4 linked regions of the Tamandua tetradactyla genome follow. The protein of the gene in region 2 interacts with the protein of the main gene of each other region in a pairwise test. Links are inferred from orthologs where the notes say so. Each region holds a gene or a part of one and is shown on either strand. Other genes may lie near its edges. The genes, in order: PLSCR3, STK16, TRIM42 and SAXO1.

Region 1 (7,651 bases), on a different chromosome or scaffold from region 2:
GCTATATTCCACCAGCCAACAAGACACTGGAGGATTATATCTGCCTTTTCTCTCATCTGCAAAGTAGGGGAGGGCCCTGTTAGCATTGCGTGCCTCTTCTAAAAGGGATCCGAGTCCATCTAATGGTGGAGAGGGGAAAACAGCCATATGTGGTATCTGAGGACCATGATGTCCACCAGTCTGAGTCCAGCAGCAACTGGTCCTGCCAAGGTGGTGGTAATTCAAAACTCCCTGGTCCTTATCCTAGGCTCATTCTCCAGGGATTAGAAATATAGTCCTTCTAGGTCCTTTCTATCTCCCTATCCTAGCCATCCCTGCAGTTTCCAAGGGTGCATCCCCAAATATGGACCATTTATAATTATGCCAAAGGGAGGCTGATCCTGTGAGAACCCCACAGTCTATACATTCCTATCCGAGGGATCACCCAGTTATTTCACAACCAGTTCCCATCACAGAACCTCCTCCAGCTACCAAGGTGACTGAATTTTTAAAAATAACTTTAGGTAACACAGCTAATCAGAAGCTTTGGAAAGGCTGCTAGTTTATACCTGTTGTTCTCCTTTATCTGCAGAGGTAATTATCCCTTAAAGAACTCACGGGTCTGTAGTGCCTTTTCCCTTTAGAAACTAAGGTTTTCCTCAGGCCTCACCTAGCCGATTTGGGTCTTCAGGCTCCATGTTGGTGATAGAAATGGATGGTGTTCTAGGTTAGAGGGACTAATTGGCTTTCTAGGTTGGCAGGACAAGCCACAAGACGTTTACAAGTCAAATTAGCACTCATTCCAGGGCCTGAGCTTACAAAGTCACACACAGCAGCCACCTGGGACCAGCCCACGGCAGACTCAGTAAATCCCAAATCCAGGCTGGCCTCAGATTTTTCAACATAGGTCTGTAGGTAATAATCAGCACTGGTCCTTAAGACAAAACCCTCCTTGCCATGCCCACAGGACCATCCTAATCAGAATGGAGAAAAATCGGAAATGCAGAAAGGGGCACAATGAATTTGGATTAGTGAGCTCAGAGTTTCCACTTTAGTGTTGGCCATCCTGCCTCATGAGGTTCCCAGGAATCTACCCTTATTCCTGATACCTCAAAGTTGGTATTTGTGCCACAGCCACAGGTCCAGTAGGGCCCCACCACCCGTAGGATTGTCTGGCGATCAGCATCCTGGATGGAGAACTTGGGGAGGAAAGGATGCCAGGTCTGTAGCACATGGCCAATGGTGATGCCAGGTGGAGCCTGTACTTCCATCTGTAGTGGGAGGCAGACAGGGTCACTGCTGAGTGAGGCAACTGGCCCAAGTACTCATTGGCACCCACTCTAGTTCCTGTCTACGTGGCCCTTTCACTATACCCTCCCATCCTCACTCGCCATGCCTCACCCCTGGTCCTGCCCATCCTCAATTGCCCATGCCCACCAGAGCCATGCCTTATCCCTGGTTCTACCCCATCACACAGTACCCCATCCCCACCCACCTCTTGGAGGCCGCAGGGGCAGCAGCTGCAGCCACAGTGGAGCGGTCGGAGCAGGTGCAGCACCTCGCGGTTCCAGGGGTCCGCCAGGCGGATGCGCAGCGGCCGGCGGGCACCGCAGCACAGGCGGGCGCAGACGTTACTCTCCTCAGCTGCCCGGCCCAAGGGCTGTCCCGCCCCCGAACGCAGTTCATACCGGTTGCGGGCCTCCCAGCCTAGGAACGCTGCCGGGTAGTGACACTGAGACTCAGGCGTCGGCCTAGACCCCAAAGCCCACCATCTCTAGCCCCAGTCACGGGTCCAACCTACTCCTCCCTCCACTCACCTTCCACTCGCTCAACCTTCTGGTGAATCAAAATCTGGTCAATCTAGAAAGAGTAGAGGCGGCACCGAGGTCAGCTGGCCGACCTGGGCTCCCGGGCCCTCCCGGTTATCCCTGCCCCCTCCACTCACCTGCACCATGAATTCGAGGCCAGAAGGCACCCCCGGCAGTGGCAAGAAGGGGGCAGCAGACCCCGCGGCCACTGGGCCGGGCGAGAGGAAAACACCGAAGCCGGGCGCGGGGGAAGGCCCCTGGGAGGGCACTGGCGCCTGCCTGGGCCCAGGATGCAGCGCCGGCTCCGGAAACCCGGCGGTCACAGGGTAGGGAGGTGGGGGCGAAGGGGCGTAACCTATTGGGGGCGAGTATGCTGTGGGTTCAGGGGTCGATTTTAGAGAGACCTGCAGCCTCACCCTCTCACCCCTCCATCCACGAGCCACGGGGCTTTGAGGAAAATGGGGTGGGAAGAGGCCGAGAAAGATGGGGCGTGGGTGCAGGGCGGCGGCTGCCCGGGAGGAAGGGAGGGGCCCCGTGCAGCCAGTTGGAGCACATTCCCGGAGGATGTGTGCGACACCAGGCTCCCAAGTCCGTGGGGGGATAACGGAGACCCCCGGCCTTGAGCCCACTTACCTGCCATGGGAAAGGGGCGGGGGTCCGCGGGATGCGGGGTCCGGTTAGTTCTGGAGCTCGGAGACAGCCAGATTGACACAGAGACAGACACAAAGACGGAGAGGCAAAGGCGGAGAAGCAGCTGCGCCCGGCGCCAGCCCAGGGGCTCGTGGGCGGCGCGTCTCTATACTCGGGGAGAAACCGAAAGTGTCAGCGGGCAGGGAGAGGTACCAGGGACTCTGGATTCGCTCAGGGGGCCCAGAACCATCCCCTCTCTTTGTCCTCCTATTCTCCGCAGAGGCGGCCGGCGACGGGCGACAGGACGGATGCACCCGCGTTCACACCGACGGCCCGACCTCGAGCGAGGTCTCCCTGCCCCCTCCGTGCCCACCGCTCACCTGAAGCCCCCAGAATTGCCCCGGTGCCCCGCGCTCCGCGGCTCCCGGGAGTTCTTGGAGGCGGGCCCAGGATTTGACTCCGCCCCCGACCCGTCCAGGTCCCGCCCCTCTCGCCCTGCGGCGCGCCTGCGCAGAGAGGAAGCCGGCTCTCTCGCGGGGCCGCGCACCCGGGTCCCTAACGTCTTCGCTCGGCTGGCGTCTCCGCCCCTTCCGCTCCGGCTGCAGATGCCTAGAAAGGAAGGGCGCCTGGGGAGGGGATCCCTCAGAGACCAGCCCGGCGACGCCCGCCGCGTCGGCGGGCTCGGAGTGCTCGGCGCCCCCTGTTGGGAAGCGCGGGCCGCCCGTGCTGCGCCTCGCTGCCGGGCCGCTCCGCACTCCCGGCTCCTCCTCCGAAGGGCGGATCGGGTCTCGCTGACGCAGCGTAACAGTCTTCACACCCTTCTTTGACTTCAGACTCCCCTGGCTCCCTTTCCGCCTCCCTGGGGCCATACCTCGAGTGGGTCCCTGAGGGGGCCGGGATGCTGCGGCGACCCACGCAGACACTTGCAAGTTACTTCCTTCAGGCACCCCTAGCCACGTGGGTGGCAGGCCGCCAAAACAGTGCCAATCGTGTGTGCGTGAGGTGAGGCTCAGGGCTGGCCGAGGAAGTGCTGTGAGAAGGCTTCCCCTGAAAGGAGTCACTTCACGGGGGTCCTGAGTCGGCTCCCTCGCAGGGGTGAGGAAGTCGTGTGCCTTGGTGGCCCACAGACTGAGTGACAGGAGATGAGTTTAGAGAGGGAGAGCTGCAGAGGCTGGGGACTTGATCCCCAAGGCAGCAGGCTTTTAAGACTGAGGAAGAAAAATAAAAAAAAAAAAGACTGAGGAAGAAGGTCAAATTTGTGTTTTAGGAAGACCTTTCAAACTCTAGCGTGAAGAGCCGTGTTCCCTGGCTGGGTTCTTGGCATTGGTCTGGGGAGGGTTGGCAATCGCTGGGGCAATGGAGACTAAGAGTGGTAGCTTTTAGAGATATTCTTAGTTGGTGGGTGAGAAGTGGAGGTGAGGAGGAGTACAGGATGAGTCTAGGTGCCTGCCACCAACATGAACATGTTCCTCTGGTCTGGTCCTGGCCCTTTTCTTCCAGGGCTTCTTTTCACCCCTTCCACACTTCAGTCATCCTTGGCTCCAGGCCAAATGCCTGCCCTTTCCCCTGGTATTCCTTAATGCCTCTAACTCCCTGTGGCCCAAACCATGTGCCACGCTCTGTCACAACACATAAATATACAGAAATTCAATTACTCAACCAAGTTTATTGAGCACCTCTTACATGCCAGACAGCATTTGAGATGATAGAAATATATAGCAGTAAACAAAATGGACAACAATTCCTGACCTCCCAGGGCTTACTTTCTAGTGGAGAAGAGACAGATGATAAGTAAATATAATACACTGGGAGTCAGACAGTGAGAAATGCTACGAAGAAAAACAGCAGAACAAGGAGGACAGGAAGTGGTGGGCAGGGGTTTAAATAGGATGGACTAGGAAGGCATCACTGAGATGACAGATGAGCCAAAACTTTCAGGAGGGGAGGGATTGAGTCGGGCAGACTTCTGTGAGAAGAGTGTTTTAGGCAGAGGCCCTATCAAGGGCGAGGGGGAAGTGAGTCTTAACTGTTTAGTGAATAAAGGAAGCCACTGTGGCGGGAATGGAGGGAACAAGAGGGAGGTCAGAGAGGTAACAGGAGGCCAGATCATCAGTGGCCTTGATGACTAATGAATTATGCTTCAAGTGAGATGAAAAGTGTTGGCAGGTTTGGGCAGAGTGACATGATCTGAATTATTATTGGAACAATGTTTCTCAACCCTGTCTTAAAAAAATACCTTGTACGTACTTAGCCTAAGCCCCACTCCATACCAATTAAATTACACTATTTTTGAGAATTTACCAGCAAATTTTAATGGGCAGTCAAGGTTGAGGACTACTACTGTAGAAGCAGGTTCTCTCTCTCAGGATTCTTTGATCAAGAGTAGCCTGTAAAATAGGCAAAGGCAGAAATAAATGTCAAATTCTAGGAAAGATGTGATGGTGACATAGAGCAGGGTGGCAGCCACACAGGTGGTAAAAAATGGTCTGATTCTGAATATGTGTTTGATGATGGCTTGCAAGTGGCATGTGAGAGAGGAAAAGAGAAGTCAAAGTTAGACTTGGACTTTTCGCCTGAGCAGCTTGAAGGATGGAGCTGCCACTGAGATGGGGAAGGCTGCGAGGGGTGGGGATAGATCAGGGGTGAGTTTGGGCATGTCCAACACAACTCTCTTCCTTCTGCCTCTTCCAGTGGGTGACACACCAAGCAGTTGGTGTCACCGTTGTCTGATCCTCCTGTTCATTCTGCAGATCTACCATCTTTTCCCTCTCTGAGCTGTCCTTTGTATCCTTTCCCTTCTCCTTACCTATGTGGCCCCTGCTCAAATCCAGGCCCTCATTTTTAAAGCAGCAGCTTCCCAGCCAGACCTCCTTGGATGATTTTCTTAACAGTCTAAGCAGAGCCTATAAGTGCCTGGTGTAAAAGACCCTGGAGGCTACTAAACTGGCCCACCAGTCCATCTGGCACAGTATGTGCCCCACGCTTTCTCTGCTTGGCTGTTTCCTGCCCGCCCACCCAATCCTGAGCTCCAGGCACTCCTGTTACTACTCTTGATTGGTGGTGTTACCAGTATGGTTTTCTCCTTCTTTGCTGGTGCTTAAAACCCAGAAAAAAACTGAAGGCTTCCCAATCCCAAAGGCAAAACAAGCCCAAACAAAGGCAAAACAGCATCTACTTGTAACACTGAACACATTTTATTTAATTATCATTCTAAACTGTCTTCATTGTGGGAATCTGAGTTTCTTGACACTGTTGAAGAAGGAAAAATACTTAGCTTTTGGGGGTTGAATGGAGGAGAGTTAGAATTACAGCTTACTCAGGTCCTGGCTGTGTAATATAGAACAAGTTACTTCTCTCTGAGCCTCACTTTCCCTGACCTTGTGGTGCTGTAATAGTAGGGACCAGTTACCAAACAGGCCTCATTTCCCTTGGTTCCTGGTCTATAAATGAGGCAAGGATAGCCTCTGTGGAGTGGCCCTGTGTGTTGTTTACCTCTTCACAGCAACCTGGGTTCTGTTAGAAAAACCCACCGACACCCAAATTCTTACCCATCCATTGGTTTTAAAAATAGCTTAAGTAAGCAACTTTTAGCCATTTGGAGTTAACTGGCTTTGCGTATCCCAGGAAACTTCTTTGCCAAGCTTTGCCTAGTGTTTATTCCCAGTTGATTAGACAGGAATCTGCAAGCATTAGGCCCCATATTTCTTGGGGACCCACACTCTCTGGCCAGGATACTCTGGGCCCTCTGCTCCCTTCCGAAAGCTGTGCTGGCTCTGCAACACCTGGACACTTAAGCCCCCTTCTTGTCTTCCTTTCTCCTCTCCCCAAGGAGTTTGGGAGTTTTCCCTTGCTTTGCTTCTCCTCTGGTGGCTTCCCAGTGCTGCTGATCTCTGGAAGTCTTCCTGCTGGGGAGTGGGGTGGGGGTGGGGGGGGTCCTCCCGGCACCAGCAAACCTGTCAAAGCAGCAGCTCCCAGTAAATAGCTTGTGTGCCACTGCCATCTAGTGGTCCAAAATTTTTTCTTGGTCAGCTCCAGGACGTGAATTGGAATTCACTCCACCTCTTGAGAGCCTGGTCCACAGACAGGACCAAAGCTAGGGTCAGAGGGTTCCCGTTACACAGAGGGTGGCCTTTCCAGGTGCCTGGGGTCTGGGAGGTTCCCTCTGCACCCCAGAAACTGCCTGAGAAGAAGGATGGAAATGCTGCAAGAGCATTGGAGTGGAAGGGAGGAGCCTGGGGTTCCAGTCTTGACTGTGTCACTCTCTGTGGGCCATGCTGAACCCCTCTGAGGCCTCAGTTTACTCATTTGTAAAATGAAGAAATACTGTGATCTTCCACTAATGTTCTTCAAATCATGCCATCTCCCTGGATATAAATGCTTCTGTGGCTTCCCATGGCCTTCAGAAGAGAGCCCAACTTCTCAGCACAAGGCCCTCCACCGTTTGGTCCTGCAATTCTCATCTCTCATTTCTGTTCTCTCATGATCTTCAAGTCAGCCCCTGGGAACTCCTTCAGGTCCCTGATTCACTGAGCTCTCTCGCTTCAGGGCTGCCTCAAAAGCCCTTGTTTGGGCCCAGAAGGTGCCCTCCTACCCTCCACCCATAACCTGACTCCTTCAGGCCTCCACAGAATGCTGTACTACACTGCAGAGGGTCTGGAGTCTGGAGCTCAGTAGGTACAAGCACGAGAGGGAAAAATTCCAGATTTAAAACATGTACATTGTAATGGAAAATATGGGGCTGAATGAGACTACCTAAAAATCCCAGCATTTGCAGAAGTGGTCTGTACACCTTTTTTTAAAAATGCTTTTTATTGTAAAATATACCATATATACAAAGCAAAGGAGAAAAACAGCAATAATTTTCAAAGCACACTTCAATAAGTAATGACAGAACAGATGCCAGAGTTTGCCATGGGCTACCATTCCAGCTCAGATTTTTCCTTCTACCTGCTCTTGAACACTTGAGGAATATTAATATATTCAGCAGTCATACTCATTTGCCAAATCCTATTCTCTTTGTTACATCTCCTCCTTCTCCTTTCATCCTTCCCCTAATCTATAGGGGATCTTTGAGCAATGCCCATTGTGACCTTTTCATTTGAGAAAGGGTGTCAGCACTAAAGGATAGGGGGATGTAATTAATTGACAATCTTGGACATGCTGGTCCCTCTGGGTTTCAGAATTTATCTGACATTGAAATTATCCCATAATTTTCTGTGGGAATTATAGGAGCC
Region 2 (8,016 bases):
TAAGAATATCAAGAATTCTCCACTTGGGGAAGTTGAATTTTCCCTCTTTCTCACCATTCCCCCAAGAGATTCTGCAAATACTTTTTTACTCACTGTTGGTGCCCCTTTTATAGCTCACCTGGGGCTTTGCGGGATGCTGAGTTGGTTCTGTACCGCCAGGGCCACACTGTCACCTTTCTGGAACACCATGTCATAAGGACCTTCCCCAAACATCATGGCATACAGCACACAGCCTAGGGACTGAGCACCACTTGGTTATTCCCTAGAATGGACCAATGAAGGTGATATCCCTTCTTTACTAGTGTAGAGAAAGGAGCTGCATAAGTCAAAAAAGAATACGCCAACCTCAGCCACATGGCACCACCATGGCCCAGAGAAACTGTCAGTTAGCTGGAAGCCTCTGCATTCCTTGTCTAGTTACTGCCTTCAGTTCTGGTACTTAGCTGTATCCACCCTGTTCAGGGGCAGGGATTATATCACTTCCTGAACAACTGAGTATGGTATCACTGACAGTTCCCAGGAAGGAAGTCAAGGGGGGATGGGGACATACCAGGGTTCCTGAGGCCCCATGTGGTAGAAACCAAAGACGTATTCCTCTACCACCAGTGGGTACAGAGCAGCATTCTACCCCTGCCCAGATTTCTACCCACATGCTCCTTACCCAGACGTCAGTCCGTTCATCGATGACACAGTGGCTTTGCACAGAGAAGAGCTCTGGAGCCCGATAGGAGATGGTGCATCGCTGGGCTGCCCAGTCCTGGAACAGTGGCCCCAGAGCCCAAAAGTGAGGCACAGGTCACGGTCCAGTGCTAAATTGGGGTATATATCAAAAAGGGCTGGGGATAGGGAACACATGGGCAAAGGAACCAGGAGACTCTCACCTGTAGGGCCAGAGCCTGGCGGGAGCTGTCCACCTGAATGCATGCCTGATTCATGGAACCCAAGTCCATTAAAATTGGCTGCCCCTCGTCTCCAAGCAAGATGTTGGTGGGCTTCAGGTCTCTATAAGGAAGTGGAAATGAATTGTGACCACCCCTGGACAGGGAGGCTGGACCCCTAGAGAGCAAAAGAATCATGGGGCTGTTTCTCAGGAAAACAGAGACCTCCCATTTCTCCTGGTAAGGCTCTTCCCCTCTGCCCCAGCAGGTACACAGGGTCTTCCCACTAACCTGTGGGCATAACCCTTGGCATGAATGGCTTCGAGGCCTCTGCAGATACCCAGCAGCAACAGCAGGATTTGATCCTCAGTCAAGAACTTGCCTTTGTCCTTCAGCCTTTCTATCTCATTCCACAGCGTACCTCTCTGTAACACAGTTTTCCCCGCAGTTGGAAATGACTTCCAAGTTCTCTGCTCCCAGGACATGACCCTTTCCCTATGCCAAAGCCTATCAACCCCTTCTCCACATACACCTCAAACCCTCACAGTACCACCTGGGTTCCTCTAAAACCCAAATCTGAAGTGGCTAAAGTCTGAACATGGCCCCAGCTTCCTAACATGTTTGATTGCTCACACAGCCCTTGGCAGGTGGCTCTGTTGAAACCCCTCCATAACTAGGAGTCCTTCTGACCTTGAAGAAGGGTAGCAGCAGCCAGGCCTCTTGTTTAGAGCCCCGTTCTTTCAGACAGTAAGCCACGAGGTGAAGGATGTTGGGGTGATGGAAGAGGCGATGCATGTCTGCTTCTCGCTGGGCCTCCTCTCGGTCCTGCTGCTCATGACACAGGATTCGCTTCAGGGCGTAGAAGCGTCCATCATGTAACCCCTCCACTAGGTCCACATAGCTGAACCCACTGTGGGCCAAAGGGTCAGTGAAGGACCACGGTCATCTCCCACACTGCCTGAACCCAGAGGGGATTCCCTGGGAAGAGGAAGGGGGTGTATTTCTCTTTTAGTAGCAACCCTCCCAAGATGTGGCTCTAAGAGACATCTCAAGGCTATTACACTTTGAGCCTCCCAAGAGCAGAGATATGACCACCTTTAGGTCCTGTGGTCATAACGTGCTCTGTACATGAAGATGCTCAATAACAAGGAAATGAAAAATAGTCAACATTTACCAACTGCTTATGCACCAGGCCCTGCACTAGACATTTTACAAGCATCATCTTATTTAATCCTCACAACTCTATCAGTGAGGCATGATAACTGTCCCCCACTAGGCAAACAAAGAAACCATGGCTTACCAAGGCCACACAAGGTGGATCTAGGAGGCCTGACTCCAGAATCCACTTTCTTGATGACCATATGGCTAGGCCCTGTCAGGTGAGTTAGAGGATGGGGATAAAGCTTTTGTACCCTTATCACGAGCGAACTGGTGTTCCTCATCCACCATCACTCTGGGAGTCAAGAAACTGATTTTCAAGCACTTACCCCTCCCCCAGTTTCTGGATGAAGAGGTAGCGCTTATTGTCAATGATGACAGTGCCCCGAGAGCAGACACACAGTGCGTGGCCCATAGTGTCTCAATCATCCTCCTCAAGGACGGTCTGAGGCTGCCGAAGGGTTCATCAAGGGTAAATGGGTTTTTCCAGGCGATATGCAGGGGGTCCAGCGAATCATGCTGGAAGGAATAGAACGGCAGGGTCGCGGGCCCGGCACAGTACAAGTGGCCCCGAATTAACAACGCGGAGAGTCCAAGTCCAGGGACCTATATTCCCATTTGAGGAAATGGGACCTGGCAACGCTAGCTCCAAGAAGACGGCGGTGAGGAGCTTTAAAACATCAGACCACGCAGCAGTTACCAGGCCGCTTCCTCCAAATCGTATCTACTTTTAGACAGCCCCCACTCCCACGCCCTTCGGGCGCGAAGTCAGAGTACCGAGTAGTTACGGGGGAGGTGCGAGCCTGACGCCCACCCCTTACAGGACCCAGCCCCAACTCTGCATAGGCTGCTAGTCGCGACTCCCCACTGACCTGGCCCGGGCAGGAGCTCCAGAGTCCGGAAGCAGTGGTTGCATCATCAGTCCGCGCGGGCGTAACGGCCGGCGGTATCCTAGCAACGGCTGGGTACCCGGAAGATGTGGAGGCGCCGAGCTGAGAGGCCTGTGGCGGGCTAGACCTGGGGGAGGACGGGTCCCAAGACCCGGGAGAGGGTCCCCACCTGGCCTTCAGTAGGGGTCAAGACGCAGGCACCTGCGTCAAAGGGGAGCAAAGCCGGGCCCAGCCCTAGGTTCCCCAGGACCTCCTTCTCCCAATGCCCGAGGTAGGAGACCTGAAATGTCCGGCGTGCTGGGACCAGAGAGCTGCAGAAGCGCAGGGAGGGGTGGGTGCTGGAGTGCTGGATTCCTGGAACTCTGATAACAATTCAGCCTCTGGGGACTGTATCTCACTACCCTAGTCTTAGTGATTAAGAGAGCTCAGACTTTGGAACCACACTGTCAGGATCCAAATCCGGATTTAATAGCCTACTAGCTGTGTCACCTCAGGCAAGTTACTTAACCCCTCTCAAGCCTCTCTTTACTAGCTCTAAAATAGGTATAGTAGGACCCAAGGTTAACTGCATGATCCGTGAGGCCAAACTGCCCAGTTCAAATCTCAGCTCTACTAAACTAGTTATTTGACCTTGGACAGTTTACTTAATATTTCTGTCCCTCAGTTTCCTCCTCTGTAATACTGGAATGATAATTATTTACCTTAGAGAATTATCTGAGGATAAAGTGAGATGTCAGTTCTTTAGCACAATATCTGACACAAAGCTCTCAATAAGTGTCAATAAACAATAATAATAATACTAAGTATCCTGGGCCTCACATCCTAGGCTTGGAAATTCCCAAATTCCAAAATCTTAGCACCACGCAGTTGTCCCTGACATCTTTAGCAGGCAGGGATAAGAAGATGAAATGGCCTGGATGGGCCCTTTTGCTGAAACAGCCCCCTCCAAGAAAAAGATCCCTTGTGTAATCTGCTTTCCCCCATTCATATGCCCAGTCATCAGGAAGATTTTCCTACGATTTCCCTTGGTTCTGGCATTCACTCATCTAGATTAACCTGCTATGTGCTGGACTCTGTGCTTAAAGCTGAAGAACAAGGCACTCCCTGCCCTCAGGGTGCTCAGTATAGTAGAGAGGTGCTTCTCAATCTAGAATGTACAGAGGATCGCCTGGGGATCTTGTTAAAATACAAATCCTGATTCCATAGGTCTGAGGTTGGACCTGATAGTCTGCCTTTCTAACAAGCTCCCTGGTGACGCTGATGAAGCTGGTTTGTGGGCTACACTTTTAAGTAGCAAGATATAGAGAACTTTACGATCCACTATAGTGGCGGGTGGCTGCAAGGTTGGAAACAAAGTCTAGGCTAACCGCCTGGCAATTTGGGGTGGTCTCCGCCCCCTTGCTCGCTGAAGTTCCCTCCCAGGAATCCGCCACGTGACGGTCGGATCGCCGTCTCAGACTAGAGGAGCCCTGTAAGCGCCATGGCTCCCAAGAAGCCGCCCTGTCTTCCCTCCCTGCTACTGCCGCTCCTGATGCTGCTGCGGGCCCAGGTAAGTCTGGAGTGTTGAACTCTCCCGCCTGGTGCGGTGAGGCAGGATCAGACCGGGCAGATGAAGAGAAAGTAAAAGTAATAACAAGACAATGGGCGGGGCTAATTCCATCTTCCCCGCTCTGGGCAGACGCTGACCCCCACTCCAGATGTCTGCTAAGCACCATCTCACCTTCGCTTTGCAGGTAGAGACTCGGTCGTTCGTAGTGGATCTGTATAATGACAGGTTCCTCCTTGACGGGGTCCCGTTCCGTTACGTGTCTGGAAGCATGCACTATTTTCGGGTACCGCGGGTGCTTTGGGCAGACCGACTATTAAAGATGCGAATGAGCGGCCTCAATGCTGTACAGTTGTAAGAAGTGCTTGTGACAGCCGTGGAGGGGCGGGATTTACTCTCCATACTGCTTCCTTAGGAATGGGGTTGGGCAAGAAGACAAACTCAATATAGAGTGGTTGGGACTCCTGGGCTCCCAGGTAAAGATTGGGAAAGGACAGACAAGGACCACCTTCCAGCTGCATCCTGGAGTTTCCTGCAGGGCCTGGGCTCTTAGGTTTCCCTGGCATCTCCCCACCTTGGGCCCTGTTAAACTCTTCCTTCCTCAGTTACGTGCCCTGGAACTATCATGAGCCAGAGCCTGGGGTCTATAACTTTAATGGCAGCCGGGACCTCTTTGCGTTTTTGCATGAGACTGCTCTAGCGAACCTGTTCGTCATCCTGAGACCAGGACCTTACATCTGTGCAGAGTGGGAGATGGTGAGTTAGTTGGAGAAGGGATAAAATCAAACCTCCATGTGCAGTTCCTAGACTACTGCCATTTGTCTACGCTCTAGGGCCACTTCCAGCACTACATTCAATTTCTTACCTCCTCCACTTCACCGCAGAACAAAACCTACACTCTTCTTTGTTGTTTTTTTTGTCTATCTCAGGGAGGTCTCCCATCCTGGTTGCTTCGAAACCCTAAAATTCATCTGAGAACCTCAGATCCAGGTGAGTTGAAGCAAAAGATTTAACACAGAGAAAAGCAAACAACAAAACGTGAGTCACTTGGGTTCCAGAAACAGGAAACACTATGCCCAAATTGGAGATCATTCATTCAACTATTTATTGTTTCCTACTTGTCCAGCAGGATGCTAGAAACTGGCACAACAGACAGACCCAGTTCCTATGAAATGGACCTTATAAAATAGTGGAGACAGGTTTTTAGAAATTAAACCTATAAATAAATTAATCACAAGCTGTAAAATTACCACATGAGAAAACAGACAGTTGAGATAGCCTATAACAGAGAAGTAGGGTAGTCAGGAAAGGCTTATATGAGAAAGAAACATTTCACTTGACCTCAGGGAAGGGAAGTCACTGGTCATGTGAAGAGTGAGATGAAAACATCCACGTAGAGGGTACAGTGTATGTTCTAAGGCCCAAGATGAGAAAGAACATGATTGAATAACTGAAAAGGCAGAATGGCTGGAGCATAGTGGGTGAAGGAGAGCATAGTATAACATGACATTGGAGAAAGGTAGAGACAATTGATGCAGGACCTTGTAGATCACAATAAAGGGTTTGAGTTTTAAGTACAGTAGAAAGCTATTGGTATGGCATGATCTGATTTATTAGCTCTGATGGGGAGAATGAATTGAGGAAGTAAGATAGAGGTGAAGAACCTAATTGGGAGACTCTGATTGAAGTTGAGGAGAGAGACGGTGGTAGCCAGTATTAAGGTGATGATGGTGGAGATGAAAAGAAAGGGCAGAATTGGGAGATAGTTTGGTAAGAAAAATCATCAGGACTTGTTGATGGATTTTGATTGGAAGGTGGAGGGTCGGAAAGAAAGGAATCAAGTTTCTGGCCAGTCAGGATGGTGGTACCATTAACTGACATAGGGAAGACAGAGAAGACTAGTGGTGGCAGAGGAACAACTTTGAAGAGAAAAACAGTGGTTCTGTTCTGGTCATGTTAAATTTTCATTATCTGTGGCATAGTCAAGTGAGGATATTAAATAAGCAATAGGATGTGTGGGTTTGGAACTTAGGGAAGAAGTTTGAGCTAGAGAGATAAATTTGGGAGTCATCAGTCTGCAGATAGCATTTAAATCCCATGAGATCTCACCTGGGGAGTAAGTGTAGCGAGAGAAAAGATGAGAATTCAGGATTAAGCTCTGAGAATGCTCAGTATTTCAAGGAGTTTGGATTTCATTCTGCATGAAAATAGGAAGTCATAAGAGCAAGGGAATGACTGATTTGATTTTACCTTTTTAGAAGATCACTCTGGCAAAATACCTTAAATCTGCTGGGAACTCTCCAGGGGCTGCTTTACTTCCTTGAGTGTTGGCGTGCTTTATGCTCACCAAAGCATTTTCCAAACTCAGTTGTCCATAAAATACATTGTAAATGATCAAGGATTGATGGAGTACGAACAAGAGATCTGTTTTTCTCAACAAAACCATGACCTCTACATCACTAAATCCATGGTGATCTTTTAGGCCTTATGCTTCCTGACCAAGCAGCAGCATCAGCACAGGTGATCAGTCTGTCCTTTGAAGTACTCTTCTCTTAGCTTTCATGATATCACACTTATCTTGTCTCTCCCACTCCCCTCCATCTTTCTGACCACTCCATAGACTCTTTTTCTCCATTTCGCATACAGCTGAATGCTGGATTATTCCAGGGCCCAGTCCTTGGACCCTTCCCTTTTCTAGAAATAAATCATTCCCAGATGCTCTCATTTATTTTCATCACTTTAAATTTAATTACTGTGTATCTCCAGTCTTTTCCCCTGACTTTTATCCAACTCCCTACTTGACTTCTCCACTTGGAAATCTGAAAGGCTTAATGATACAACTAAGCTCTTGATATCGCTTCCCCAAATCAGCTCTTCCTACAATCAACTCATATCAGATAGTAACAACTCCATTTACTGATTGGTCAGGCTTATGCCTTTCTCTCACACCTCACATTTATTCCATCAGAAAAGCCTGTCAGCTGTATCCTCAGAATACTTTCAGAATTCAACTACATTTAATCACTCCCATTGCCATCAGCCTGGTCCAAACCACCTCTCTCACCTGGATTATTTTAATAGCTTCTTAACTGGTTTCCCTTGTTTTGCCCCACCCCCACCCTCCATGTAGCATGTTCTCAGCACAGCAGCCAGTATAACACTGTTAATGTTTAAATACGTATCTTAGTTCATACCACTTCTCCATTCGACTTGCCAATAGGTTTCTATCTCTTCAGAATACGAGCCATGGATTCCTTAAAATGATCTACAAGGCCCTATATAATTGACCCCAGTTACTTCCTAACATCCTGTCTTCTCCTTCTTGTTCACAGGGCACCAGCCACAAAGGCCTGTCATACTTGAGGCCTTTGCACGTGGTGCTCCCTTTATCTTCCTGTAGAAACCAACTTCTCAGTGAGGCCATCCCTGACCACCCTCTATGAAATTTAAGCCCCCTCCCCTACAACATTTTATATCCTCTGTCCTTTTTTTCTATCCTTGGTCCTAACATCCTGTATATTTTTTAATCTGCCTCCCCTACTAG
Region 3 (7,812 bases), on a different chromosome or scaffold from region 2:
GCTGAACTGCTCTTTGAACAAGAGTAAAGCAGCCCTGGAACTGGGACCACCCTGGGCCTATCTGCTGGCCTGGGGGTTGGGGGCGGGGAAGTTCCTGTCGGACAGAAGCAATATCACTGGACGCTAATGTCAGACAAGCCCACCTGGGGACTGTCATGGATCAAAACACAATCATGTCTGAACCAGACAAAAATAGGAACGTTACTCAAACCACAAAATTGACCAGACATCTGTCTCTCCCAGTTAACACCAGTTCCTGCTTCTTTACCAATGGCAACTGGGGGGCTCACCTGGTCCCCCTGCCTTCTAGGTAAGACTTAGTGCGACACCCACTAAGAGGTCCCCCCCCCCACCTCCTCACCTACTTCGAGCCCCAGTCCTATACTTTATTGACACCCTCTGACTGAGACACCTCACAGTTTCCTGGGGTGCCTCCCTTGTTGCAGTGGGTCAATACATCCACTTTTGTTCCAATTACAGTGTATTCTTGCTTGTTTCTGCCTGGAGGTTATGGACATTATTATTTGTGTACGTCGGTTGGAACCCAGGAGTTGGGGCAGGAGACAGGGCCTCTCCCAGGGCAGGAGCTCAGTAGCTATGCCAGTTCTAGAGCCCATGAGCTCTGCCCCCTGGACCAGGCAGTGACGGTTAGAAGTGAGCTGGAAGGCACCACTTCTCTCAGCCTGTTGCTTCATCTGTGAATCAAGGCCCACAATAGTACTTCCTTCGTGAGGTTTCTACAAAGAGAAAAATCTATGCTATGTGCCTAGATGCTGGTACATAATTATAATGGTGCATGTGGCTGTTGTAATTACTCCTGTCCGCGGCCAGCCAGCTCATGTCCACAGCAGAGGAAACTAGCGGTCAAGTCCGTGCAAAGTGTGTGCTTCTAGCGTCTTGTGTGTGTGTGTTTAAGATGCTTTGTCTAATTATGTTATGCTGAATGTTTTTGGGGCTTGTTTCCTGGAATGTAAGCATTCTAGGTGAAATAAAGCTTACTTGTAAAATACAAGTGTAGCTTCTAAAGGCTCCAATCAGAGCAAAAGCAGTTCATGAAAAGACACGGTTTGCTGTGGGAATGAAGGAGTGGACAGAAACAGTTTGTGGCTGTGCCTATCCCTTCACCTCTGATCCCATTAGCAAGGTTTGGATTTTGGTCTTGATTCCATGGCTGTTCCCCCTGCCTTGACCTTCTTGCGTTTCCTGTACGTCCCTGTCCCCAGATGGTTCTAACGCACAGCACAGTGTGGGAGCCACTGGTCTTACCATCCTCTCAAAGCTCCTGCCGAGCTCATCGCCCCCCTTGCTGCTGAAATGGGCTTAGCAAATCTGTGTTGCTGACACGCAGAGAGCAAGGCGGTTGTGCGGAGAGGGGGTGTGGACTCTACTCTCCACACCCTAGAGTGTTCTGACATGCACCCGGAATTCCTGGACTCTCTAGTCACGCGTGCACCAATGAGAAGCCCATTGGTGGAGAGCGTCCCAGCCACTAAGCATCTACTAAGTGCTTGAATGCAAGACGGATTGTACTCCTCCCCCAGAGCCACCGCAACTTTGCTCATAGAATTGCTTTTCTAGCCTCAGAAAGATCCAAACTTACCTCCTGCTTCTCTGTCTCACCAAATTCTGTCATCTTATGGGGCTGAGCTTTGATCTGTTCTCCTCTGAGAAGTCTGCCCACATTACTCCATACCTTCCTCACATGTGACATAAAAGACTGGCCTGGCCAGACCAGGGAGGGGCTGTGTAATGCCTGGCATGGAGGGTGAACGCCCCAACTGAGACTGTAGGTGCTGTGACTTTTGGATAGGAAAGAGCAGAAGGCAGATAGGAGTTCAAAGGGGGATGCAGTACTTATATAGGGGTCTAAACTCGCCTGTGGATGTGATTATTTTGCCCAGTTAATGGTGCAGATGTCATGCTCAGTGGAGGAAGAACGACTTATATTTTAATACTGCCCAGCAGATTACAAAGCCTATTCAGTCATCCTCAGGCCTCTGTACCCTGGCACGCATGGGTGCCTTTGCTTTGCAGTACAGCCTTTTAAAGTTAAGATCAAAGACTCTGGGTTCAGATCCTGACATCTCAATAGCTGTGTGATCCTGGGCAAATGAACCTCTCAAAGGCTTGATTTCATCATCAGTTCAGTGTGGGTGGTGGGAGGGTTAGGTGGGGTCGTGCAGGCAGTGCCTGGTAGTGATGGTGCCCTAATACCCAGTACCCGCTGCTGTGCCCGTGCACAGATGAGCAAGTGGAGGCCAGGAGAGTGCAGCTCCTCCTCACCATTAGAGCTTGGATTTGAAACTCTGGCCTGCACGTGGTTTATGGCTGTTTGGGATACACTTAATGTTACAAAAGAGTGGGCATCTGTTTTTCAGATGGAGAGACAGGCTTAGGGGTGCACCGGCCTTGTCCCCCGGCTCTCCTTAGCCCATTGGGTGCTGGCACTTACGAGGTGCGGATGCTCTTGAGGCGGCCCCTGCGGAAGGTGATGGTGGCGTTGCGGCAGCAGCGACTCTCATAGTAGTGGCACATGAGGTTGCTGCTGGCCATGCAGCAGTACTTGCAGTTGGGGTCATTGGCCCAGGAGCAGCAACACCAGTGGCAGTTGGGGTTCTCGGAGCAGGTGCAGTGGCAGCACTGACAGTTGCGCTCATCCTTGTAGGGGCAGGGGAAACAGGTGCAGTTGCGCTCCGAGGTGAAGAGGAACTTGCAGCACAGACAGGAGCACAGCTGGGGACAACACCTCTGCCATGTACAGCAGGGTGAGCAGACACACATAGCGGTCTCCATGGCGCCTACATGATTGCACCCTGCCCCCTGGGGCTTGTGGTCCCTCCTCTACCAGAATCCTGCCGTGGCTCCCCCCGCCCGAGGAGTTGGTCAGCTTGGCGGCTGAGCAGGTCGGCTGTGGCAAGGCCTTCACAGGTGGTGTCCTTACTAGGAAGCTCAGGGGCTGGCATATGCATGTATCAGCTGGAGGGCCTTTGCTTATGTCACAATTCCTGTCTCCCTACCACCTCTCACCACCCTGGGTAGGTGGGGCAGCAGTGGGGACACCTGGCAGCAAGGTGAGCTGATGGACAATCCATGCTTCCACAGGACCAGCTTCAGGAAGTGATGCAATGACATCCTAGAGGTTTAGCTGTCATTTGTCACCTCTGGGTTATAGATCAGATTTCAGAATCTAATTCTCCTTGCTTCTGTGACTGCAGTTTGGACAAGCTGACTCCAGGTACGTCTTCATAGGCTGAAAGGTCTGGATATGATTGTGAATATAGACTGACATGTTTTTTCTCTCTTCTTCTTCTTTCTTTCTTTATTTATTTTTGCATAGATAGAGCTATCTATTTGATGAACAAAGCACAGTGTTTACAAATATTAGCAATGTCACATTTAAAAATATAATGGAGAAAGAACTAAAGGAAAAGAAGAATTAGGTACAATTAGCACTTCTTTCTGTAGTTGTTGAGTTTGTCATTTGCTGTATAGTCACTGCTGATTTCCAGAAGTCTTCATGCTTAAGTTACCCCAAATATTTCTTGACTTTTCTAATGCTTGATGAGACTCAAGCTGTTTGCTTCCCCCCTGCACTGTCCCCAATATAGCCCTTTTACAAAGTGCAGAATTCTACAGAAGGATCCTTAGTAAATAGACCTTATGTTTTAGAGGAGAATTTTTCTTTGCACCTTATGTGCCTTACAAAGATTAAAGGTCAGAAAGTTCATTGTCATACAGTATTATGACATAAACACTGTGTGAAACAGATGTGAGAATTGAGTGTGGCTGCAGTGTTTTTTTTGCATAATTTATGATCTCTTTCTGTGACCGTCACCTTTTTAATAGAAAAGACTCTTCACTGAGTGCTGACTCGCTGCCAGCCACAAATTGTTTTTACGACCCTTCAAGTGAAAATCCTAGATCACAGAGTATTTGATTTATTTTTTATAGATACTACTAAATTGCTTGCTGAAATGTATGTGTCAGTTTACACTGATACCAACAATGTTTGAAAGACACCTTTTCCCGCATGTCTGCCCAACTGCAATTTTGTCTCTATTTCTTTCTGTCCCCAGGTGCTGAGATCTGAGTTGGTTATGGATTTATGGTGCCTTTTCATCACTGGTCTGTGCAAAGCCTCCTGTTCTTATTAATTGAGACATAATTCAGATCCCATAAAATTTTCCATGTAAAAGTGTACAGTTCAGTGCTTTTAATATATTTGTGTGGTTGTGCAACCATCACCGCTCTCTAATTCCAAAATAGTGTTATCATATCCCCAAAGTGACTGTACCCATTAGCAGCCACTCCTCATCTCACCCACCCACCCCCGGCCCCTGCCCACCACCCGCTACTCTACTTTGTGTCACTGTGATTTTTACCTGTACTGAGTAGTGCATAGAAATGGAATCACTGAATTTGTGGCCTTTTGTGTCTGACTTCTTTCACTTCACATAATATTTTCAAGGTCATCCACACTGTAGCATGTATCAGGTATTTCATTCCTTTTTGAAAGATTTTTATTAGAGAATTTGTGGCTTTACAAACAACTATGCATAAAATACGAGATTCTCATACACCACCAAACCCTCAATATAACTGATGATAGCACTTTAAAAATAATTGTACTATATATATTTTAATAGCAGTTACCTTTGTCACAATTGATGAAAAATTATTAAAATCGTACTATTATGTCATCCGTAATTTACATTAGGTGTATTTTCCCCATTCCTACCCTGTCACTGACACCTTGTATTACTGTTGTATATTTTTTATAATTTATGAAAGAGCATTCTTATACTATTAGCCATAGTCAGTCATCTATAATAGGATTTGCTGTGTTGTACAATCCCATGTCTTATTTTTTAAATTTTATTCTAGTAATATATACATCCTAAAGTTTCCCCTTTTAAACACATTCACCTCTATAGCTCAGTGCTGTTGATGACACACCCAATAATGTGCTCCCATTGCCGCCATCCATTTCCACACCTTAACCATTAGCCTAAATAGAAATTCACACCTTAACTATTAGCCTAAATAGAAGTTCCGTACAAGTCTAAGCATCAAATCCCCATTCTCCAACCCCAGTCTATCTCCAGGTAATTTATATTTAGATAGGAACTCTTTGAGTTTGCTTATTATAATTAGTTCACAAAAGTGAGATCATGCCATATTTGTCTTTTTGTGTCTGGCTAGCATACTGTCCTCCAGGTTCACCCATGTTGTCACGTGCATTAAGACTTCATTCCTTTTTACGGTTGAATAATATTCCATCGTATGTAGACACCACATTTGTTTATCTGTTTATCAGCTGATGGAAACTTGGGTTTCTTCCATCTTTTGGCAATTGTGAATAATGCCTCTATGAGTATCAGTGTACAAATATTTGCTACAGTCCATGGTTTTCAATTCTTCTAGATATAGATACACATACAGTACTGGGATTGCTAAATCACCTCGTTAATTGCACACTTAGCTTCCTGTGGAACTGCCAAACTATCTTCCACAGAGGCTAAACCACTTTACATGAATGAATGCTCTTATTTGCCCACAGCCTCTCCAACACTTCTAGTTTTCTGTTTTTTCTTTAAATAGTGGCCATTGTAGTCAGTGTGAAATGATACCTCATTGCGGTTTTGATTTACATTTCCCTAATCACTAGTGATGTCGAGCATCTCTTCATTTGCGTTTTAGCCATTTATGTATTCTCTTTGGAGAAATGTCTATTCAAGTTTTTTGCCCATTTGTAAATTGGGTTGTTTGTCTTTTAATTGTTGAGTTATAGGGTTTCTTTATATATTTTGGATATTAAATCATTATTGGGTATGTGGCTTCCAAATATTTTTTCCCATTGAGTAGGTGGTCTTTTCAATTTCATGACAAATTCTATTGATGCACAAACATTTTTAGTTTTGAGGAGCTCCCATTTATCTAGTTTTTTTCTTTCACTGCTTGTGTTTTGGATGTAAAGTCTAAGAAACCATTGCCTACTATAAGATCTTGAAGATGCTTACCTACATTTTCTTCTAGAACTTTCATAGTCCTGGTGCATATAAGTAGGTCTTTGATCCATTTTGAGATAATTTTTGTATAGTGTGTGAGATAGGGTCCTCTTTCATTCTTCTGCCTATGGATATCCAGTTCTTCTAACACCATTTGTTGAACAGACTATTCTAAACTTAGCAATCTCATCAAAAATCAATTGGTCTTAGATATGAGAGTCTATTCCTAAGCTCTCATTTGATTTCATTGGTTAATATAATGTCCCTATGGCAGAACCATGATGCTTTGACCATTGTAGCTTTGTAAAAGCTTTAAAGTCAATAAGTGTTTGTCTTACAACTTTGTTCTTTTTTTTCCAAGATATTTTTTTGCTATTGGGGGCCCTTATCCTTCCAAATAAATTTGATAATTGGTTTTTCTATTTCTGTAAAGTAGGCTGTTGGGATTTTGATTGGGATTTCATTGAACCAGATCGCTCATTACTAGTGTATGGAAGCACTACTGATTTTTGCATGTTGAGCTTTTATCCCATCACTTTGTTAAACAGCTTTATTAGCTCTAGTATCTTTGTTGTAGACACTTTGGGACTGTCTGTATAGGATCATGTCATCTGCAGATAGTGACAGTGTCACTTCTTCTTTTCCAATTTAGATGTCTTTTATTTCTTTTTCTTGCTTTACTATTCTGGCTAGAACTTCTAGAGCGGTGGTGACAGTAGGCATCCTTGTCTTATCCCATATCTTGGAGGGAAAGCTTTCACAACCGAGTACAATGCTAGCTCTGGGTTTTCATACATGCCCTTTATCATGTTGAGGAAGTTTCCTTCGATTCCTAGTTGTTGAAGGGTTTCCTCAAGAAAGGATGGTCCCCAATTCTGTGCTTTTCTGGCCTTTCTAGCAAGTGCAGCCCCTCAGCTCATCACCCCCAGAGCCCCCATGAAGCACTGTGTGTTCAAATCTCCACCAAGTCTGCCCCTGTCAAGAGCAAGGTTAAAAAACTGCTGCTGCTGCCTTTTTCCAGGCAGGTTGAAATACAAGCTCAGAGCCAGGACCCAGTGATCCAAATTCACTAATCAAAAGGCATGATCAGTGATCTACTGCACCCACCCCTGTTCTTGGGGAAGAGCATTTTATGTCCCTCTCTGTCCCCAGTGAGGTGGCCTAGGACTGGGCCTCATAGCACCCAGCTGTAAGAGTGGGGAATGGGGGCCAAGAGCCTCTGCTTGAAGAGAGCAACTTGCTGTTCTTTGCCACTGTGGTTTACCAGCCTCTTCCTTCTGCTGGTCTCCAGGGCCCCATAACATTTGTTTCAGATGGTTCCTGCCTGTTTAGTAGCTGTTTGGTGGAAGGACTGCATCCTGGAGCTCCCTACTGTGCTATCTTCCCCAGAAGTTCCCCACCACTTTCTTTTTAATGGCTGAATGATGGTCTATTATATGGATATACCACATTGACATTTGGATTGTTTTCACTATTTGACTATTATGAATAATGGTGCAATGAGCATTCATGTACAAGTGCTTGCATGAACATGTATTTTTAATCCTTTGGGGTATACAGAATTCTTGGTTGGTGGATTTTTTCTTTCAGCACTTCAAATATGTTGTCTCACTATCTTCTGGACTCCAGGGTTTCTATTGAGAAATTGGTTCGTCATCTTAGTAAAAATTCCTTATATATGATGCATTGCTTGACTCTTGCTGTTTTTAAAATTCTGCATTATTCTTGACATTTGATCATAATCTTTGAGCCCATTCCGCTTGGTGTTTAGCATTCATAGCTTTCAGCAAATCTGGGAAGTTTT
Region 4 (7,440 bases), on a different chromosome or scaffold from region 2:
TTCTCCATATTTAATCAGTAATTCACAATATCATCACATAGTTGCATATTCATCATCATGATCATTTCTTAGAACATTTGCATCAATTCAGAAAAAGAAATAAAAAGACAACAGAAAAAAATTCATACATACCATATCCCTTGCCCCTCCCTTTCTCCACCCAGTTTTTGTTGATAAAATTTAATACTTTTGTTTATAGACACTAAAATTTGAATTTTATATAATTTTCACATCACATAAAATTCTTTTTTTTTCATACAAAAACAGGTAAACAGGTGGCAGGTTGGACTTGAACCACAGACAATAGTTTGCCACTGTCTGTTCCAGAGCCTAACTGACATGGAAGAAAACAAAATCCCCAAGTTTCCTTTGGCCTAAGATGACTCTGATTGACTCACTCATTCACTTAAACTAATGGGAAGAGTTAGGAAGTTTGGGAAAGAAAAATAGGCAAAGGCTTATTAATAGCTTAAGTTGCCATTTCCTATAACCAGGAAGTTATGTTCAATTCCAAACAACCTGCCAGAGCAGTCCTGTCTCCTGAATTTGCTTCATGATCAGAATCACCTGGGTTTTTTTTGCTAAAACTAGAGAGTCAATGTAGGAGGGTTCAGGCCAGCAATTTGAAGTGGCTCTCAGGAGCAAGTAAGTTAGAGAAACACTGCATCAAGGGGAGGTTCTCAAAGCCTGGTCCTGGACCCAGGAGAATCAGCAGCGCTTAGGAACTTGTTAGAAATGAATATTTTTGGCCCCACACATGCCTTTCTGAATCAGAAACTCCAGGGGGTAAGAGCCTGGCAAACTGGTGCTTATCAAGCCTTCCAGGTGATTCTGATGCACAAAATCTGAAAACCAGTGCTTCAAGGGTCCACATTACCACCTGGAAGATTGCGCACCGTATGACCAGTAGAGGCCTGGCGCTTTAAACTGCTTTGGTCTCAAGGGAGCAAGGTCTGTGTGTGGGAGCAATTCTCAAAAGGCACTTGAAGCCACAGGCGTGGATTTCCCCAAGGAAGATCTGGAAAGGGCATTTTTTTTTTTATTAATTTTTAAATTTAAAAAAAAGACTAGAAAGAAACACAAACATTCTTAACATATGGTCATCCATTCTACATATATAATCAGTAATTCACAATATCATCACATAGTTGCATATTGATCATCATGATCATTTCTTAGAACATTTGCATCAATTCAGAAAAAGAAAAAAAACAGAAAAAGAAATCAAACGAAAACAGAAAAAAAAATTATACATACCATACCCCTTACCCCTTCCTTTCATTGATCACTAGCATTTCAAAATAAATTTATTTTAACAATTGTTCCCCCTATTATTTATTTTTATTCCATATGTTCTACTCGTCTGTTAACAAGGTAGATAAAAGGAGCATCAGACACAAGGTTTTCACAATTACACAGTCACATTGCGAAAGCTATATCATTATTCAATCATCTCCAAGAAACATGGCTACTGGAACACAGCTCTACATCTTCAGGCAGTTCCCTCCAGCCTCTCCATTACATCCTGAATAACAAGGTGATATGTACTTAATGAGTAAGAATAACCTCCAGAATGACCTCTCGACTCTGGAATCTCTCAGCCATTGACACTTTGTCTCATTTCACTCTTCCCCCTTTTGGTCCAGAAGGTTTTCTCAATCCCTTGATGCTGAGTCACAGCTCATTCTAGGGTTTTTCTCAATCCTGTGATGCTGAGTCTCAGCTCATTCTAGGATTTCTGTCCCAAGTTGCCAGGAAGGTCCACACCCCTGGGAGTCATGTCCCATGTAGACAGGGGGAGGGTGGTGAGTTGGCTTGATGTGTTGGCTGGAGAGAGAGGCCACATCTGAGCAACAAAAGAGGCTCTCTTGGGGGCGACTCTTAGGCCTAATTTTAAGTAGGCTTGACCTATCCTTTGAGGGATTATGTATCATATGAACAAGCCCCAAGACTGGGGGCTCAGCCTAGAGCTTTGGTTGTCCACACTGCTTGTGAGAATATCAAGAATTCAACTTGGGGAGGTTGAATTTTCCCCTGTTCTCACCATTCCCCGAAGGGGACTTTGCAAATACTTTTCCACTCACTGATTGAACCACTCTGGGATTCATCGGGTCATCACGGTGGAAAAATCAACAAAATCTCATGTCCTACCCAAGGTTCCATGTACTTATGATGTTCAACCAAGCTATCCTCATAAGTTATATTAGGAAATGCACTAGTCAAAATATAAATTTTGCACCAAATAAACATTTTTTGCTTTAGTCTCACACATAAGTTGAAATTTTAAAATATTAATTACCATCTATTTTCAGCACCCTGCAGTAATGACATTCCTTTGTGCTTCCTCATGCAAAAACATTTTTTAAATTTGCACATTTAGTTACTATCATGATACACTCTAGGCATTCCTAGATTATACCATCTCAATCTTTAACATCTGTCTTTCTTTCTGATTTCATTTATGTCCCCAGCCCTCCTCCCTCAATCATTCTCACATTCAGCTTCATTCAGTGTTTTAACATAATTGTATTACAGTTAGGTAGTATTGTGCTGTCCATTTCTGAGTTTTTATATTCAGTCCTGTTGCACAATCTGTATCTCTTTAGCTCCAATTACCCAATATCTTACGCTATTTCTATCTCCTGGTGGTCTCTGTTACCAGCGAAACATTCCAAGTTTATTCACTAATGTCAGTTCATATCAGTGAGACCACACAGTATTTGTCCTTTTGTTTCTGGCTAATCTCACTCAGCATAATGTCCTTAAGGTCCATTCATGTTGTTACATACTTCATAACTTTATTCTGTCTTACAGCTGCATAATATTCCACCGTATGTATATACCGCCGTTTGTTTAGCCACTCGTCTGTTGATGGACGTTTTGGCTGTTTCCATCTCTTTGCAGTTGTAAATAATGCTGCTATAAACATTTGTGTGCCAATGTCTGTTTGTGTCTTTGCCCTTATGTCCTTTGAGTAGATACCTAGCAACGGTACTGCCAGGTCATATGGCAATTCTATATTCAGCTTTTTGAGGAACCGCCAAACTGCCTTCCACAGTGGTTGCACCATTTGACATTCCCACCAACAGTGGATAAGTGTGCCTCTTTCTCCACATCCTCTCCAGCTCTTGTCATTTTCTGTTTTGTTGATAATGGCCGTTCTGGTGGGTGTGAGATGATATCTCATTGTGGTTTTGATTTGCATTTCTCTAATGGCCAGGGAAGTTGAGCATCTCTTCATGTGCCTTTTGGCCATTTGTATTTCCTCTTCTGAGAAGTATCTGTTCAAGTCTTCTTCCCATTTTGTAATTGGATTGGCTGTCTTTTTGTTGTTGAGTCGAACAATCTCTTTATAAATTCTGGATACTAGAACTTTATCTGCTATGTTGTTTCCAAATATTGTCTCCCATTGTGTAGGCTGTCTTTTTACTTTCTTGATGAAGTTCTTTGATGCACAAATGTGTTTAATTTTGAGGAGTTCCCATTTCTTTCTTTCTGTCTTCAATGCTCTTGCTTTGGGTGTAAGGTCTAGAAAACCGCCTCCAAGTATAAGATTTATAAGATATTTCCCTATCTTTTCTTCTAACACTTTTATGGTCTTAGATCTAATGTTTAGGTCTTTGATCCAATTTGAGTTAACTTTTGTATAGGGTGTGAGATATGGGTCCTCTTTCATTCTTTTGCATATGGATATCCAGTTCTCTAGGGACCATTTATTGAAGAGACTGTTCTGTCCCAGGTGAGTTGGCTTGACTGCCTTATCAAAGATCAAATGTCCATAGATGAGAGGGTCTATATCTGAACACTCTATCCGATCCCATTGGTCAGCATATCTATCTTTATGCCAGTACCATGCTGTTTTGACCACTGTAGCTTCATAATATGCCTTAAAATCAGGTAGCGTGAGACCTCCGACTTCATTTTTTTTTTCTCAGGATACTTTTAGCTATTTGGGGCACCCTGCCCTTCCGGATAAATTTGGTTATTGGTTTTTCTATTTCTGAAAAGGAAGTTTTTGGGATTTTAATTTGTATTGCATTGTACCTGTAAATCAATTTAGGTAGAATCGACATCTTAACTATATTTAGTCTGGAAAGGGCATTTAAGGTTAGTCTTCTGGAGGTCAAGGGATGCATTTCTATAAAAAAAGAGAACCACGGATCCTAGAGACAGAAAATGCCACATAATGTGATGGCAGTGGCCTTTTCAGCTTTTCTGTACAGGCGATCGTGGCATTTGCTGATAAGCGCACCCACGAGCTTTCCAAAGTCCACCTTCCTTTATGTTTTTCCAAGGTCCAGTGGGGTAAATCTTGTCCTGGGCTTTCCAAGTGGGGTACTGGGGACTCCCTCACGTCACAAGTGGCCCTTGTGATGTCATTGCCATCTAGATATGTGCCCTTCCTGGCCCACGACGTCACAGAGAGTCCTCATTTCCCCTGGCGGGACACCGCTCCACGTGCATGGGTCCGGGGCGCAGAGGCTGGGGCGGCCGCGTGCATGGGGAGGTGGCCAGGGCTGGCGCGCCATCCGCCCTCCCTGCTGCCCCTCGTGCAAGGCCAGCATAAGGAAGGCAACAGATCACAGGGCTTTGCAAAAGGGCCTCTTAAATTTTCTTTTGAATAAATACGGAGAACATTTGCCCAGGACCTTGAGACTTGGTGTGCCCCCAGTGAGGCGGCTGGGGCACACCGGGCGGCAGGGGCGGCAGGGGCGGCAGGGGATGTTCTACGTGGACACAGGTCCTTAGGATGGCCCCTTCGAAGAGGAAGTGCATCTGCGACTTGTGCTCTTGCGGGTAAGGTTGCCCGGCCCAGCGCAAGGCGGGGGGCTGGGCGTGGGGTGTGGGCCTCTGGAGGTAAGCGAAGCCACTTTCTGGAAAGCTAGGCTGAGGACTCATCTTGTGTTGATTAATCAGGCAGCATCGCGGTGGATTCTCCACCTGTCAACCATTATTATTAGGCTGCAGTGTTATGGCAGATTCATCGCCATCCTTACCGTCAGCTAGAGTTTAAAGCTCTGGGGTTGAATCAATCCTGGCGAATGGGGCTGCACCCCCTTTCCCCTGTTCAGCCACTTCACAGCTGTGCGGAGGTTGCAACATGGACGCAGCTCGGCAGAGAGTTTGTGCTCCCTTCCCTGTAGCTGGAGAAAGTATCAGATGGAAAATCCCTTGTCCAGTCTTGTGGGTTTTTTTTTTTTTTTGGTTGTGCTTTTCGGAATGGAATGGAGATGAGGAAGAGGGTTTCTTTAATGTAACTGAGTTTCTCAGATAAATTGTGGTTACTTTGTCAAAGAAGTATAAAGTTTTTGTAAAACTTGTTTCCATGCGGTGTAAAATTGAAGGAGAATAATGAAAGGGAGATTGCTTTCACAAGCTATCAGGTTTCTCCTGGCCCTTTGCCTTTAGGACCATGCCTGGGGTGAAGCACAGTTACGGACAGGTGGTCCCAGGGAGACATTCTCCTCATCAGAGTTTTGTGGCTGCCTACTCAGTGTCAGGCACACTGGGAGCTGAGCCTCTCACCTGCTTCACAGGACAACTTGGGGAGCCACCAAGATGGGGCAGCAGAGAAGCAACAGATAAGAGGGTGGGCACTGGGCCAGCTCTCCTGTGTTGCCACTCCTTGTGGATCTAGGGCAGGTAACTGGACTTCTCCATGCCATATGCCATAGTTTCTTCTTCTGTATCACCTGTGCCTACCAGGTAGGATTGTAAGGAATAAATGAATTATGCATGTGAGCCTCCTGAAATCTGAAAAAAGTGCTTTCCAATTTAATATGCTTCATGAATACAACAAAAAATGACATCATTGTAGACGGAGGAGGCGGGGATTAAAGGACTCACTAAAATCTGTGTTACAAGGTTTGAAACCTTGTACCATCTCTAGCATGGCTGAATGGTTCTCAACCCTGGCTGCTCATTAGAATCACCTGGGGTGGGGGTGGGTTAAAGCTACTGTCAGTTGCTCAGGCTGCTATATCACAATCTCTGATGGAGGGCCCCAGGCAGTGCCCTTTGGGCGATTCTGACCATTTGCCAGGATTGGGAACCCCTGAGCTGGATCACAAACTTGTGTATGCCTTTTTTTGTATGCTGTATGGCGGGCGGGGATGGTCACGTTTCATTATTTTTCCATGTGAGTATCCTGTTGTTGCAGCACCATTTGTTGAATTTTTGCTTACTTGTGTGTTTTTTGTTTGTTTGTTTGTTTTGGGGAGTGCATGGACCAGGAATCGAACCCAAGTCTCCCGCATGTCAGGCAAGAATTCTACCATTGAACTACCCTCGCACCTCCTGTGCCTTGTTTTTAAGCTTTGTTAAGTAGGACTCTCTTCCGTAGACTTGCTCCTGTAACCTGTGGCTGCCTAGAAGGGCCTCCCTGGATTTCAACTCTGTCTGGACTAAGGGAAACCACTGGATTCACCCTGGGATCCCCCTCCCTGCTCCATAGCTTGGAGACTGTACTAAGGGTGTGGTGGGGGTGCTATTCACAAAAACAAAGGGGCTATCGCCTTTGTTTCCCACCTCTCGGGGATCATTATTCTTTGCGTGATGTTTGCATGTCTTGAAAAGCCTTATATCATATATTTTGTACAGTTTTTAAAGTTTTCCCTGTTACTCCACCTTTGCCCAAAATGGAAGGGGAGAACGCATTGTTCCATTGGCGTTGCCTCCTTCCCTTTCTCCTGCTCTTGGGTTTTGGGATAATGCCTCAAGTAAGCTATTTGCACTCACATTCTTGTTTCAGGATCTGCTTTTGGGGATGCTCAAGTGAAGACAGCTTTAATTGTTTCTTTTTATTTTGTGGTCTGCCTTAGCTGGCTTAGGTTTCCCTTTTTATCTAAAGGTCCCCTCCATCCAGGGGCCTTTACAGCACCCCTTCTGCCTCCTCCTTTTCTGGGAGCAGACCCCCCTCATTCCCCACTCTCTCCTGCAGTCCCAATTTCCCTTTCTTCATTAGCTCTTTCACTTAAGTGTCCAAACATGGGAAGAGGCCCTCTATCTAAGAAAAATATACACTTATTTAAAAGCAGCAAACCCCCCCAAAAAAGTCCCCTAGTTCTTCCATGTGCTATTCAGTTCTATTTTTCTCCCCATGGTCAGTCAGATCTAACGAACCAGTGACAAACACCTGCTGCCTCTACCCCTCATCCTGGCTCGCCCTGATAATCCTGCAGCCTGCTTCATCTCCTTTACCCTGGGGGAACAATTTTAATTCAGCCAGCATTTTCTTGGGCTTCCCGTGGTGTCCAATATTGGGCTCACTGCTATGGGGTTCATGGTGTTTGGTGGTCCTTGCCCTAAGGGCGTCTGGAGTGGGGTAGGCTATAGGACCTGGGAGGATTTCTCCTGCTGGGCTGTCACTCCTTGATATGTTGTTCTAGTTTGCTAGCTGCTGGAATGCAACACACCAGAGATGGTTTGGCTTTTAATAAA

What was found.
Region 1: the proteins of STK16 (region 2) and PLSCR3 interact in binary tests that used the Homo sapiens proteins (3 or more experiments, as listed by UniProt). The two-hybrid records come from large-scale screens. The link is inferred for Tamandua tetradactyla from reciprocal best matches to the Homo sapiens genes STK16 and PLSCR3.
Region 3: the proteins of STK16 (region 2) and TRIM42 interact in binary tests that used the Homo sapiens proteins (3 or more experiments, as listed by UniProt). The two-hybrid records come from large-scale screens. The link is inferred for Tamandua tetradactyla from reciprocal best matches to the Homo sapiens genes STK16 and TRIM42.
Region 4: the proteins of STK16 (region 2) and SAXO1 interact in binary tests that used the Homo sapiens proteins (3 or more experiments, as listed by UniProt). The two-hybrid records come from large-scale screens. The link is inferred for Tamandua tetradactyla from reciprocal best matches to the Homo sapiens genes STK16 and SAXO1.

The regions. Positions count from the first base shown.
Region 1 is NC_135332.1:61,241,073-61,248,723, forward strand, and holds the start of PLSCR3 (phospholipid scramblase 3), read right to left. Parts: upstream 3,009-7,651; 5' UTR 2,798-3,008; intron 2,589-2,797; exon of another isoform or gene 2,584-2,588; 5' UTR 2,428-2,583; coding exon 2,421-2,427; intron 2,143-2,420; coding exon 1,925-2,142; intron 1,840-1,924; coding exon 1,797-1,839; intron 1,696-1,796; coding exon 1,475-1,695; intron 1,251-1,474; coding exon 1,089-1,250; intron 1-1,088. UniProt on the Homo sapiens protein: Catalyzes calcium-induced ATP-independent rapid bidirectional and non-specific movement of the phospholipids (lipid scrambling or lipid flip-flop) between the inner and outer membrane of the mitochondria.
Region 2 is NC_135329.1:194,982,178-194,990,193, reverse strand, and holds the start of STK16 (serine/threonine-protein kinase 16), read right to left. Parts: upstream 3,014-8,016; 5' UTR 2,909-3,013; intron 2,556-2,908; 5' UTR 2,452-2,555; coding exon 2,366-2,451; intron 1,789-2,365; coding exon 1,569-1,788; intron 1,304-1,568; coding exon 1,170-1,303; intron 1,003-1,169; coding exon 882-1,002; intron 758-881; coding exon 662-757; intron 241-661; coding exon 119-240; intron 1-118. Other genes in the region: GLB1L (beta-galactosidase-1-like protein), read left to right, coding at 4,407-4,475, 4,660-4,826, 5,078-5,228, 5,402-5,462. UniProt on the Homo sapiens protein: Membrane-associated protein kinase that phosphorylates on serine and threonine residues. In vitro substrates include DRG1, ENO1 and EIF4EBP1. Also autophosphorylates. May be involved in secretory vesicle trafficking or intracellular signaling.
Region 3 is NC_135341.1:84,768,985-84,776,796, reverse strand, and holds the start of TRIM42 (tripartite motif-containing protein 42), read right to left. Parts: upstream 3,005-7,812; 5' UTR 2,794-3,004; coding exon 2,453-2,793; intron 1-2,452.
Region 4 is NC_135328.1:78,080,772-78,088,211, forward strand, and holds the start of SAXO1 (stabilizer of axonemal microtubules 1), read left to right. Parts: upstream 1-4,436; 5' UTR 4,437-4,750; coding exon 4,751-4,797; intron 4,798-7,440. UniProt on the Homo sapiens protein: May play a role in the regulation of cilium length. Stabilizes microtubules at low temperature.